Drosophila melanogaster: one gene and its partners. The protein of the gene in region 1 interacts with the protein of each later gene in a pairwise test. Each region holds a gene or a part of one and is shown on either strand. Other genes may lie near its edges.

The links. The genes of interacting proteins can lie anywhere in the genome.
Region 2: the proteins of CenG1A (region 1) and PGAP5 interact in a two-hybrid assay, tested with the Drosophila melanogaster proteins (one large-scale study listed by BioGRID).
Region 3: the proteins of CenG1A (region 1) and RPA2 interact in a two-hybrid assay, tested with the Drosophila melanogaster proteins (one large-scale study listed by BioGRID).

Annotation. Positions count from the first base shown.
Region 1 is NT_033779.5:13,833,801-13,838,626, forward strand, and holds the start of CenG1A (centaurin gamma 1A), read left to right. Parts: upstream 1-1,763; 5' UTR 1,764-2,256; coding exon 2,257-2,632; intron 2,633-4,826. Other genes in the region: Polr2C (RNA polymerase II subunit C), read left to right, coding at 1-451; mRpS23 (mitochondrial ribosomal protein S23), read right to left, coding at 497-860, 922-1,083, 1,139-1,182.
Region 2 is NT_033779.5:8,197,347-8,201,206, forward strand, and holds PGAP5 (Post-GPI attachment to proteins 5), read left to right. Parts: upstream 1-1,606; 5' UTR 1,607-1,696; coding exon 1,697-2,115; intron 2,116-2,182; coding exon 2,183-2,687; intron 2,688-2,755; coding exon 2,756-2,934; coding exon of another isoform or gene 2,935-2,935; exon of another isoform or gene 2,936-2,999; coding exon 3,000-3,009; 3' UTR 3,010-3,306; downstream 3,307-3,860. Other genes in the region: CG8460 (uncharacterized protein), read left to right, coding at 1-219, 286-475, 533-736, 803-1,202, 1,267-1,408; SLC5A11 (Sodium/solute co-transporter-like 5A11), read right to left, coding at 3,539-3,614, 3,671-3,860. UniProt on the Drosophila melanogaster protein: Metallophosphoesterase.
Region 3 is NT_033779.5:20,924,421-20,928,097, forward strand, and holds RPA2 (replication protein A2), read right to left. Parts: upstream 1,728-3,677; 5' UTR 1,627-1,727; coding exon 1,614-1,626; intron 1,556-1,613; coding exon 1,494-1,555; intron 1,431-1,493; coding exon 844-1,430; intron 755-843; coding exon 676-754; 3' UTR 555-675; downstream 1-554. Other genes in the region: Nthl1 (Nth-like DNA glycosylase 1), read right to left, coding at 2,028-2,444, 2,501-2,671, 2,737-3,204, 3,269-3,379.

The DNA of each region.
Region 1 (4,826 bases):
GGTCCTGCCGGTGACGTCCCGCAACCAGGGTGAGGAGGACAACGAGTACGGCGAGAGCAACGATGAGATCCTCATAATTAAGCTGCGCAAGGGGCAGGAGCTGAAGCTGCGCGCCTACGCCAAGAAGGGATTTGGCAAGGAGCACGCCAAGTGGAATCCTACCGCAGGCGTGTGCTTCGAGTATGATCCGGACAACTCCATGCGACACACTCTGTATCCCAAACCTGATGAGTGGCCAAAGAGCGAGCACACCGAACTGGAGGACGACCAGTACGAGGCGCCCTACAACTGGGAAGCCAAGCCAAACAAGTTCTTCTTCAACGTCGAATCCGCCGGTGCCCTTAAGCCTGAGAACATTGTGGTCATGGGTGTGCAGGTGCTGAAGAACAAGCTGTCAAACCTGCAGACGCAACTCAGCCACGAGTCCCAAAACGATGCATTGGCCGTTTGATTTACATATAACAAGTTTATTTTAAGTTTATAAAAGATGTTCCGCCTAATCCTTGAACAAGCTGTCTATGTTAATGCCCACGTTCGCTTCCTTTTTTCCCTTGGGAGCAGGTGGTGCTGGTGACGACGTGATTTGCTGGCTCACCACAGCCTCCTTGAAGTCGCTCAGCAGCTGGGACTTGGATTCCGAATCCTGCTCTGGCAGGCATTCCTCTGGGGTAGTCTCCAGGCGGGCCTGCTGGCGCTGCTCCGCCAAAAGATCCAGTGCGGTCTCGTAGATCCTTTGCTCATCCAGGGCTCCTTGTCCTTTCAGGTCCTGGTATATTTGGACAAATTGCTGTGACTGCGTGCTGCGCCTGTGGTCAAACAGGGATATCGTTTCCTGGGGTTTGTTTTCTTTATGCAGCTTTCTGTTGGTGTACAAGATTAGTTCAGTATTGGTATAAGCCCGACTGCAGGTGAAAAACATACGCTCGGACAACATCCTCGGCATAAAATATCTGGCGCACTGGAATCTCAGGCGCGGGTCTGTCGAATCGGGGCTCCAGTTTCGGCGGAAAGGCGGCGTACACATCGTACCAAATGGGTTTATCCTCGGTTTTCATAGCTCCACCGCGTAGGAGGCCCTGAACTCTGCAAGAGTCGGGTGTTTAAAGCTTGCACAGATATTTCGTAGGAGGGTAAATACCTGGTGAAGATTGTGCCAATCTTTTCAAGCCTACTTTGTGCCATTTTGGTAAAGTTTTAATTAATTAAATGTGTTTTTTAACAAATTACGATTACGACATGCAGTGCATGAACTTATCGGTAAGCAGCCGGTGCCTATCGATACCATCAGAGTTGCCGCTGTGAGCTTAACGGACTTATGGCTTATAAGAGCCTAGAGCGCTCCAATTGGCATTTAGACGGCAAGTGAAATATTTATTTTTTTAAATTGGTTGAATTGTAGTTACAAAGATATTGACTTAAAATCTATTCATATATATGGCACTTAATTGAAATAAATTAACTACATTATGTTACTATCGATACCAGTCCAAACAAATATAGTATTTATGTCTATTACGGTGATTTTTCTGGTTGGCGTTTTTGGTATTTCTCGTGCACTTCATAGTACAGTGCTTACTCCATAAGTGTAATATTCCGAATTAATCCCGTGATTACATGTGTGTCTGGTGTAATGAAATCACTGTACACTATCTAACCATTACTTGTAAATTAATAGTACAAAATCTTGTTAGTTAAAAATTAATCACCCACTTGAGTTGGTGGAAGTTCGCTCTGTAGAGTGACCACTGTACCTGCTCTTCATCCACAGTTTGTTGTGGAACGCCTCGCACCAACTACATACTTTTACATACTCGGCTGCGCTCGACGTAAATTCTCGCACTTTTCTGTTGGTTTCGTAGTAAATTTTCGCCTTTTCGCTGTCAAATAAAGCGCACGCATCGGGAAAAACGGAGAAAAGTGCAAAATAACTAAATATAAAGTGTATCAAATATAACTGTTAGAAAAATGCCATTTGATTGTGTACTGTAATAGCGTAAACAAAAGTGTTTTGATTGTTTGTGCAGGTGCAAAATCGATCTAGTGAACTGAAAACTGCGACTCCAAAATCGGTCGAGTTAGCGCATTTATTGCCCCGATTGTTGTTATTGGAAAATGTTGTTCGTTTGGGAAAACTGTGCCATCGCAATTTTGTAGTGTTCGTGCCTGTGTGTGTGCCGTGTGTGCGTGACGAGTGTATGTGCCAGTAAATTAAGTTAATTAAAAACTTAGCTAACTCTCGATTCCACCGCCCCCGCCATGAGTAACTACCATCCGCATTCGCATCCGCACGCGCTCTCGCATCCGCATCCGCAGCAGGTCCATAATCAGCTGCAGAATCCCCACCAGAACCAGTTGCCGCCCCCGCAACGCCATAACCATGCCGCGCCCACTGCAGCAGCCTCCGCCTCCGGAGCGCCATCATCATCAGCATCGGCATCGGCATCAGCATCTATCCTGGTGGCCCATCCTCCCCAGCCGCTCATCAGCAACTCGCTGGCCATCCGGCAGGAGATCCAGCGATTCGAGAGCGTCCACCCATCCATCTATGCCATATACGAACTGATCGATCTGCTGCCCATGGCCGATGCCCAGATAGCCCAGTCCATTCGGGACCATGTGGTCTGCATTGAAGGTAAGTCCCCCTCTATTAGTGCACCTAGTTTAATGATTATAATTAGTTACACTAGAGTTTAGCCATTGAATGGTAAAGCGGTTTCTGTAATTAGTTTTGCAATCAAAGTTTATGTTTGTCCACCTGTTTATACTGTAAATATTGCAGGCTTAACTTCCTATTAAATGGCAATAAGGAGATCAAGTGGCCTAATTGTCCAATTAGATATTGCTGAAAAGTTTATGATGTTTAGCTTAGGTTTCGAGTTATAGATTCTCATTTCCACCTGTTAATACTAAGTCTATCCAATTTGGGTCGTTACACTCTTTGTAATAAATAAATAAATGTGATTAGTATAGCATATAATGTTTATAAGATGTACGACCAAACCCGACTTAACCTGAAAGTATTTTAATGAATATATTTCAACGCTTAAGTGCTTGAAAGCAGCTGCACAAATGTTTTGCTAGAAAATAGGCTTTTAAACGTAAAATGTGTAAGTGCTAGATTCCAAATATAACAGTACTCTTATTATATATTTCGTTTGTTTTTTAATGGCTTGCAAATTTATGCACCATAACAAGGAAATGCTCTGCTTGTGAATTCGAAACTTTTGCTCAAGGGTCACTGGTTTTAATGGAGCATTCGGAGGTGTGCCCCAGAAATGATGAGCAACTAAATGTGCTATAAATTATGCAAAGACACAGTAAAGAAAAGGGTTTCAAAGTCGGAAAGTGGAGTCTATCGTGACTTTCGATGGACTGACTGGTCGTCCCATTGAGTGTGTCAAGTCGGCGGGAAGAGATGCGAATCCTTTGATTAAACATGTTTATCGCTGCAATTGTATCCACACCTTCATTGTGCCCCTTATCGCGAGCGTCTGGACTTGTGGTTGCCTTTGTTTGGAGTGCTTTATGCTAATCTTAGACCGAAAATCTATGAGGCAACATCAACCCCCGGTTGATGGCGAGGATTATTGTTGCCAAAATGCCCATTCAAGCGGATCGCAGCGGGCCCATTGAAAGTGTTGTCGCTCTGTTCATGGAAAAGAAAGAGCTTCGTTTTTTGTTTAAAACAAGCTTTTCTGCCCAATTTTCAGCATGTGTGTGTGTGTGTGTGTGTGTTTGTATGCGGGGACTGAAATTTGATGCCCTCTTCCTCTTTGTGGCAGGCAGCAAAACTGAATACTGAAAACTGAAAACCGTTCACGAAATCAAACCGAAAACCGGTTCCTGAAATGGTTTATTAGAAAATCTCTGGCAGAGGCAGCAACAACGAAAGGCTCACCAAAAATGTAAACAAAATTGTCAGAGGCAGCGGCAGCGGCAGCAACCTCATGAATACTCGAATACTCCACTCTGTGTCGTGCAAACCAGATATGTACGAAACCCGAGAATACGAGAGCGTACGATCTCGTAAACCGTTTCGCACGCGACTTTCTTATTGGCATTGACCCGCAACACGGGCACATTGGTCCAATATGTACAAATATATACATATATAACTATATCGAATACCGATTCTAATTCGCTGTCAGCGTGATGAACGATGCTTTCGTTGGACTCTGGTTGCCGTTTTCCCGTTCCAAATGCTTATTTATAGGTTTCGGTAACGGTCTCCAATAAATCGAGAAGGTCAAAAGTATCTAACGAAAATAAATAAAAGAAATTCTGTGCTATCTGTTCGTTAACCTTTTCATTTGAAATCGATTTAGAAGCTATATAGCATAAATAATCATACAGCAGCTTACTATACATAGCTTACTACTTAACAAATAAAAACGTTTATGGACAATAATCTAAAGAATCGATATAATCTCAGAACTTAATGCCCGTTTTTTTTTTTTTTTTGGTTAAGAGCTCTTGCGTTTAAAGTGCCCCCTTAATATTGTAAGCTGCTGACTCACCGAAATCAGTTCGAGTCTTAAACCACATTTAACTGCTAAGATGTCATTGAACTTTTAGCGAATCAAAGTTTAGTTACATATTTAAAAGGCACTCAAGAAAAATAATGTGTTGCTGATTATTTACGAATGAGATTTTTATTTATGTATCTTATAGAATTTGATGCTTCCTCAGCGAGATTTGTAATCCAATTAGGCCAAGGCCTTGATATTTTAGACAAAATTCAGCAACAATGGCTGCTTAAATATTTCTGTAAACTGCGTACTATTGTGTGTGTGTGGCTACATGTGCCGTCTAAAATTAGCATATGA
Region 2 (3,860 bases), 5.6 Mb from region 1:
ACCACCGTCCGCGGAACCCTCGCCCCGGACAGCCACAAATCGAAGAGCAAGACCAAGGAGAGTGCTCTGCGTGGCGGTCCGCAAGACCAAGATGTTTTCGATCTGGGCTTGGTTAGTCCCGAGCCCCTGGCCAAGGATATCGTGAGCAATCATCGCGGGTACTTCAAGGAGACGGGATTGCGACGCTTCAATGGCACCACCTTGGGCTATGTGACTCCAGTAAGCAGAGGACGTACTCCCACATTTTGTGCATGTGTATTAATCTATTGTTTGCTTTGCTTGTAGTGGAACTCGCATGGCTATGATGTGGCTAAGATATTTGCCAAGAAGTTCGACATTATCTCGCCGGTTTGGCTGCAGATTGTTAAGCAGGGAGATCGTTATGCCGTAGCCGGAACCCATGACATCGATGCGGGTTGGCTAACCGATGTCCGGAGAAAGGGTAAACAGGTGCACAATCAGCGAACGGTTAAAGGTATGAGAAAATGATACCCGCTGGCGTTAGTCTAAACTCACTTTCCTTGGATTTCAGTGTTTCCCCGTTTTATATTCGATCACTTCACTGATCGGGACATTAAGCTCTTGCTTAGCGACGCCCAGGAGAGGACGAAAGTCAACGACGTGCTGATCAAGTGCTGCAAGGATAATGGCTTCGATGGACTCGTCCTGGAGGTGTGGTCCCAGCTAGCTGGACGCATAGATGACAAAATTCTGTACACACTGGTTTTGCAAATGGGTGAGCTTAATGCGTTGTAACCCTTTGTTTGTTATTAATAATTTAAATTTCTTTTACGTCACTTAGCCAAAGAACTACAAAAGCAACAGCTGCGACTCATTTTGGTCATTCCTCCATTCCGCAAGGAAACAGGCCACCTTTTTGGAGAAAAGCACATGGACAAGCTGTTCAAGCACATATACGCCTTCTCTCTGATGACTTACGACTTCTCCAGCGTGCAGCGTCCCGGAGCAAATGCACCATTATATTTCGTCCGTAAGGCTGTGGAGACAATAGCTCCAGAAGGTTGCGCTGATATGACGGCTAAGAGGGCTAAAATTCTGTTGGGACTGAATATGTACGGGAATGATTACACGCCCGATGGAGGTGGACCCATCACCTTCTCCCAGTACTTGGATCTAGTCAGGCATGTGAAGAAGCACCTAACTTACGATGAGCGGGATGTGGAAAATTTCTTTGAAATCAAGTGAGTTTTCTACTGCAGCGTATGCAGAGTGTAAGGCGAAGATGATGAATATCATTACTTTCAGAAACGATGACGGTCGCCACATTGTCTTTTATCCCACTCTCTATTCCATAAACGAGCGAATAAAGCTCGCCCAGGAACTGGGCACTGGCATTTCAATCTGGGAACTTGGCCAAGGCCTAAACTATTTTTACGATCTCTTCTAGTTAGCCTGTAAGCAGCATGCAATGCACAATACCTATTCCAAATAAAGGAAATTATATATAAGCCATAATGCTTCATAATTTTTCCAATTTACAATTTTAGTAACCAACTTTGAAATGAGGCGCCAATTTGTTAGTCAACCGACAGCCGCTTGACAGCACTGTTTAATTTATCGAATATTTTAAATTTATATCGGGCCGTTTACTCGTTTAAAACGATACTATCGCTGATGGTTTTTCAGCTCTAGAATAAATTTGTTATTATTTTTTTAGCCGGTGAGAAATCCTGAAATGCGCTTTCTTTATGCCTGCTTTGTGATCGTGCTGTGCGCCCTGATCTTCTGCGAATATGTGGCGGACTTTGTGGTGCTGCAAAAGTGCAAGTGGCCGGAGATAAAGCGAAAGAAGTATGTGGACGATCCGCTTAGGGCAATGATTCTAGCGGATCCGCATCTGCTGGGACCGCATCGTGGTCACTGGCTGGACAAGCTCTACCGGGAGTGGCACATGACGCGGGCCTTTCAGGCGGCATCACGTCTGTTCCAGCCCGACGTGGTCTTCGTCTTGGGCGATTTGTTCGACGAGGGCGACATGGTCAGCGACAAGCAGTTCCAGGAATATGTGTGGCGCTACCTGAAGATGTTCCACCTACCACCGGGAATTCCGCTCATCAGTGTCGCGGGAAATCATGACGTGGGCTTCCATTACAAGTAAGTCAATAAGAGACTATGTGTATTCCCTGATATTTGTTAAACCGCGCTCTTGTGTGTTTTCCAGAATGCATCCCTTCTTTATGTCGCGTTTTGAGAGTTATCTGAACAACTCCTCGGTCAATTTGTACACCATTAAACAAATCCATTTTGTGGTGATAAATTCGATGGCTATGGAAGGTGATGGTTGCATGTTTTGCACCCAGGCCGAGGATCAGTTGAAAAACATTTCGAGGACTTTGTACTGCATGAAGTATCCACTAGAGGCGGAGTGCGCTCGCACCAGGCGGCACCCGTACAGCCAGCCAATTCTATTGCAGCACTTTCCCACCTACCGCATTTCGGATACCATGTGCGAGGAGCACGATGCTCCGTACATCGAGGCGTTCCGAGAGCGGTTTCATGTGCTCTCCAAGGATGCCACGGATATGCTGGGAGAGCTGCTTAAGCCAAGGCTGGCATTCGCCGGTCATTCACATCACTTCTGTCACAGTGTAAATCGACTGGGCATCGATGAGTACACGGTGGCCTCATTCAGCTGGCGAAACAAAGTTAATCCCAGCTTTATGCTGGTGAGTATTATATTTGCTCTTACGATTGTTAGCCCTTCGAACTTGTACTAACATGCCATAACTTTTAGGCCACTATAACCCCCGATGACTATGTGGTTTCCAAGTGCAAAATGCTGCCACAGCAGTTTGTCTTCAATAGCTATCTGAGTGCTGGCATTCTTTGCCTAATTGTCATCGGGTTCCAGCTACGAAAGTGCATCCAAAGCAGAAGACAGTCGTCGGCTGTAGATCATCGGAAGGTTAATTAGTATGTATAAGCATGCCTATACAAGGCATATCCTCTTTTGTGATTTACGCCTGATTGGGGCTTAGTTTAGACTAGATACGCCAGATTCCAGACTCAGATCCCAGATCCAGATCCAGACAGAGGTCATATCATTCCTGCTGCTTTGCAACCGCTTAACTATATTCTAGGTGTACAAAATTCGGATAGTATGTATGATCTATTTATTGAATTTATCACAGACATTATGCTTGTAAAGTCAAACGGAATACATAATGAGACACAGTCTGCTGACTACAAATCGAAAATGCCAAAAAAATAATGCTTGAACAAAGGCTGGAAAGTAAAGAACGGATACAAACAGAACAATTAAATAAAGCTATATTATAATACATTTACTATATAACGTTAATGATTGTGCACTCTGTATTCTGAGATGCAGATTCATAGGTTCCTGTACTTCGGTTTATGTCTTCCAATATCTGGATCACATTGTACTAGACTAGGCTATCTATAAGGTAACTACCACAAAGCAACTACAACTACAAACTATGCTAACAAAACAGGGTGTGGAATTCAATGCCATCAATTCCATTAGTTTGGCACAGGAAGTTCTGGTTCGTCTATTTTAGGATACGTTTAAGAGGTTTTTGTGCGCCTGCGCATGGAGATTGCGACCACTAAAGCATTCTTTTGGAAGGAATCTAGAAGAAAAAATGGGTTTAATAACAGAGGTTAAACATGTGGTTACAAAAATTACCTGTGAATCACTGGTGATATTAGATCCGGATCTAGTGTTTTCATATTTGTGGGTTTGGTCACAAGGGAGACTAGTGCACCTACCACAATGACTGTGGCCACACCAATGGGATTTATCCAGTGGTAGGACAGTCGGTACAGTGGAAAAACTTGCTCCTCATCTACCCATATATTTTCCCGAAGCGTTACAT
Region 3 (3,677 bases), 7.1 Mb from region 1:
AATATTAATCTTAATTTTTGATTTGCATGCCTATTATGTTTTGATTTTGATTCCTGAGCTTGTAATTTTCTATGATAAATTCAAAAACTAATGAAATAAAACGCATTGAATGAATTTTATAAATTTTTTGCAATCCGATCTAACTATGCCCGATATACAATCAAAATATGCATTACCTAATTAAACAATTAACTTACTAGCGTTAAAAGTTAGTTAGTTATATATCTAAAAAATAAATTGATAATGAAATAAAGCGGTATGAACTTATCACATCCTTTTATCAAATGAAGCAAAGTGAAACGATTCAAAAAAACTTTATAATCCATTACAATTTTATAAATGAACAAGAATATTAATTAAACATAAAATAATTAAAATATTTCAGGTTTTCTATCTTTTTTGTAAGATATTTTAAATTCCCTTAGGACTATGAATCCGAAGACTTTTCATATGATAAGCCGTAAATATACACATACACCGGCAACTTGAAGAGCAAGATTTCCTCAAATACACATTTTCAACAGTCCCAATAAAAAATATCCCAAAATCACTTTCTGATTATATAAGAAATATTTAATGTACAACTAATATATGGAAAATGTTCCCGTTTTTCAAAAACTTAATACATATATTCAATACGCATTTTTAAATTAAATAGTGGTTACACGATTTGATTTACATTGTGCAAATAAAGTGATCTGCGTCAATGCTGGAATAAATGTGTCCCTCGGAAATCATAAAGTCCAGAATGTTGCTGTAAAAATAGGAACAATAAAATGTTATAATTAATATTAATTAATAAAGAATATCAAATGATGCAATAGTTTTGGATAAACAACTTACGTCAACTCAGAGTCGCTGATGTGGGAGAATTTGGCTTTCAGTTCCTTGCGGGAGATGCCCTCCTCGGAAACATTGCTCTTGATGGCCTGGAATACGGCCTGCTGCTTGGGCTCCAGCCCACTGACAATGGCCGAGCTCTGGGAGGCGGTGAAATCAGCTATGGAGCCTGAGCCGGAAGAAGCCCCTGCACCAGCTCCAGCTCCACCCTTGCTCTGGTAGTCCTCGGCCCTGTAGCGGGCATTGAGTACTTCCAGCAGGTGGGTGCACACCTCGTTGGGATCCAAAACGGGCAGTAGCTTGAAGATCATTAGGGTTTTGGAACCGCCTTGCGACCGGGTGGTGCCGTAGACCTTCACGTAGTTGTTGACCATTACTTCGGGTGCCTTGAGAGCGTCGCCCTCCTCAAGCCAGTAGTGCGCATCGATCCTGCCGCTATGATCCTCCAGGGTGTAGGTGATCTTCGTCGAGGAAGTCTCCACGTTCCGCACTATGGCCACAACACATGCCATGGCGTACTGCATGCCGAACAACTCGATGTTTCCCTCTGGGGCGTCCACAATCTGCTTCACCACCAGGGGCACTATTCCCTAGTTGCAATCATACGGAATCATGTTAGGTTGTGCAACTTTACTGGCGTCTCACTCACTTACTTCTCCCTTTTGATTGCTGGCGGCTCCAGTTGGCGCAGTTTGTGTGGCATTGAAATCTCCAACTAAAACGAGCTTCGTTATTAGTTCCCTTAATTTCTCTGAGCTACGGGCTATACTTACATGAATCATTCATTTTCTTGGCTTTTGAGGGATTTGTAATTGAGTATTCTATATAATTTCACAAGGGCCGCTGGTAAACAATAAAACGCGCGAACGTAGAGCTGATAGTGTGGCCGTAGGTCGAACACGTAGGAATAACATCTATTTAGTATATAAGAAATACGAAATATTGTAGTGTCAATATTTCAATATTTTTCCTGAAAAACTGAATTATTGTAATAAATTGGGAATATACCTTTTTCAGTTAAAACAAAAAAAGAAAAACCACAAAATTTTTTATTTTTTACAGGACTTACAGCCCCCTTAATAATTCATTTATTTTCTTATGGGTAACACAATATTTTTCTTAGCACTAATAATTTCAGAAACACTTAGAAACCTAAAACCTTTTTCAGCGTTCGCTGAACCTCTTTCCTATCGGTCTTTCTTCCTTTTTTCTTTAGTTTCAGCATGGGCTGAAGGACAAATGTCCTTGTTCAGGCACTCCCCACAATTTGGCTTCACTGGGGTGCAAATGGTTTGTCCGAATCCCACGAACAAATGATTGACCTCTGACCAGAGGCTGAATGGCAGCCACTTCTCCAACGCCACACGGGTTTGCTCGGGCTCCTTGGTGGGCTTCGGCACCCAGCCCAGCCTGTTAGAAAGGCGGTGGACGTGGACGTCCACTCCGATTCCGGTTATCTTGTTCCAGGCCACTGCCATGCATATATGGGCCATCTTGGGGCCAACTCCTGGAAGAGCTACAAGGTCCTTGACATTATCTGGAATGTCCGAACCATACTTGTCCGTCAGTATCTCCACGGTTTGCTTGAGGTATTTAGCTTTGTTCTGGAAGAGATCGAGAGTAAGTGCGATATATTTATTTATTATTAATTCCACCAAACCTTGTAGAAGGATACGGGATGCAGTAAATTCTCGAGTTCAGTCACTGGCATTTCCTTTACTTTCAGTGGAGTTAGACCTCGGTCTTTAAGGCGATTCATGGCTTCATAAGTAGTTTGGTCTTTGGTTTGACTGGACAGCATCAATGCCACTAAGTTTTGGAAGCGCTGGGTCTGCAAGGAAGTTGTTTGCTTGTAACATATTCTTCTATGTACTTAATTCCACTTATTGGAAATACCTTCGAGTCTGCTTTTAAATCGGCGCATCGGTGGCATCCCATGGTGTCCACTGGCGCAGTTCTGGAGTTTCTCATAATGCGAATGTTTTCTAGGTGGTTAAACCACAAAGGATGTGGTGCTTGCACCTCAGAAAAAGAAGGGGAATCCTCCGGAGCTTCCTGTTTTATTTGGGGTTCCACCTCCTCTCTTATCTTATCCACTCTCACTGGGGAGTCCACAGCATCAGGGACCACCTTGCATATGACCACAGTAGCCGAACCCATTTGAACTCTGGTTACCATGCGATCATCCTTTCTAAACTTTTTGGGTGCCACTCGAGCTGGAGACAAGGGCTCCATTTTAATGTTAGTTTTCTTCACGGCTTCCCCATTTAAGAGACGCTGCTTGCGGGTTTGCACGGGGGAGAAGAACACTGAGCTACTCGATCCTGCTGCGCCAGCAGATACACCAACCAGATCCTCTATATCCTGGAAGATTTAGAAACTGCGTCTTGAGTATCAATTTCATTGTTTATCATGCATTTCCGCCTACCCTCACGTTATCCGCCCTATTTGGACGACTTTTTATTTCCGTGGGTTTTATAAGATCTCCGCGTTTTGCCAACTTGTTGGCCAACGTTAATTTCTTTACATTTTTGGCCATAGCTAATACAATTTCTGCGCTTCAGTTTCAGTTTCCATGTTTGTTTACATTTCGAACCTATCGATTTCGATGTAGGAGAAACGGCCACACTTTACAACTAAGTAGCCGGGAACATTTGAAATTTCGAAATATTCAACTCATGCAAGTTAGGATTTTAAGAACCATTTTTCGTATGCTACAGCATAATAAGTTATAAGCTATTACAATACATTTTAAGCCACAAATTTAATTTTAATGCACTTGATTTAAAAAAAAGTACAAACTTTTCGATTTCGTTATCAACAGCTCATAAAATTTA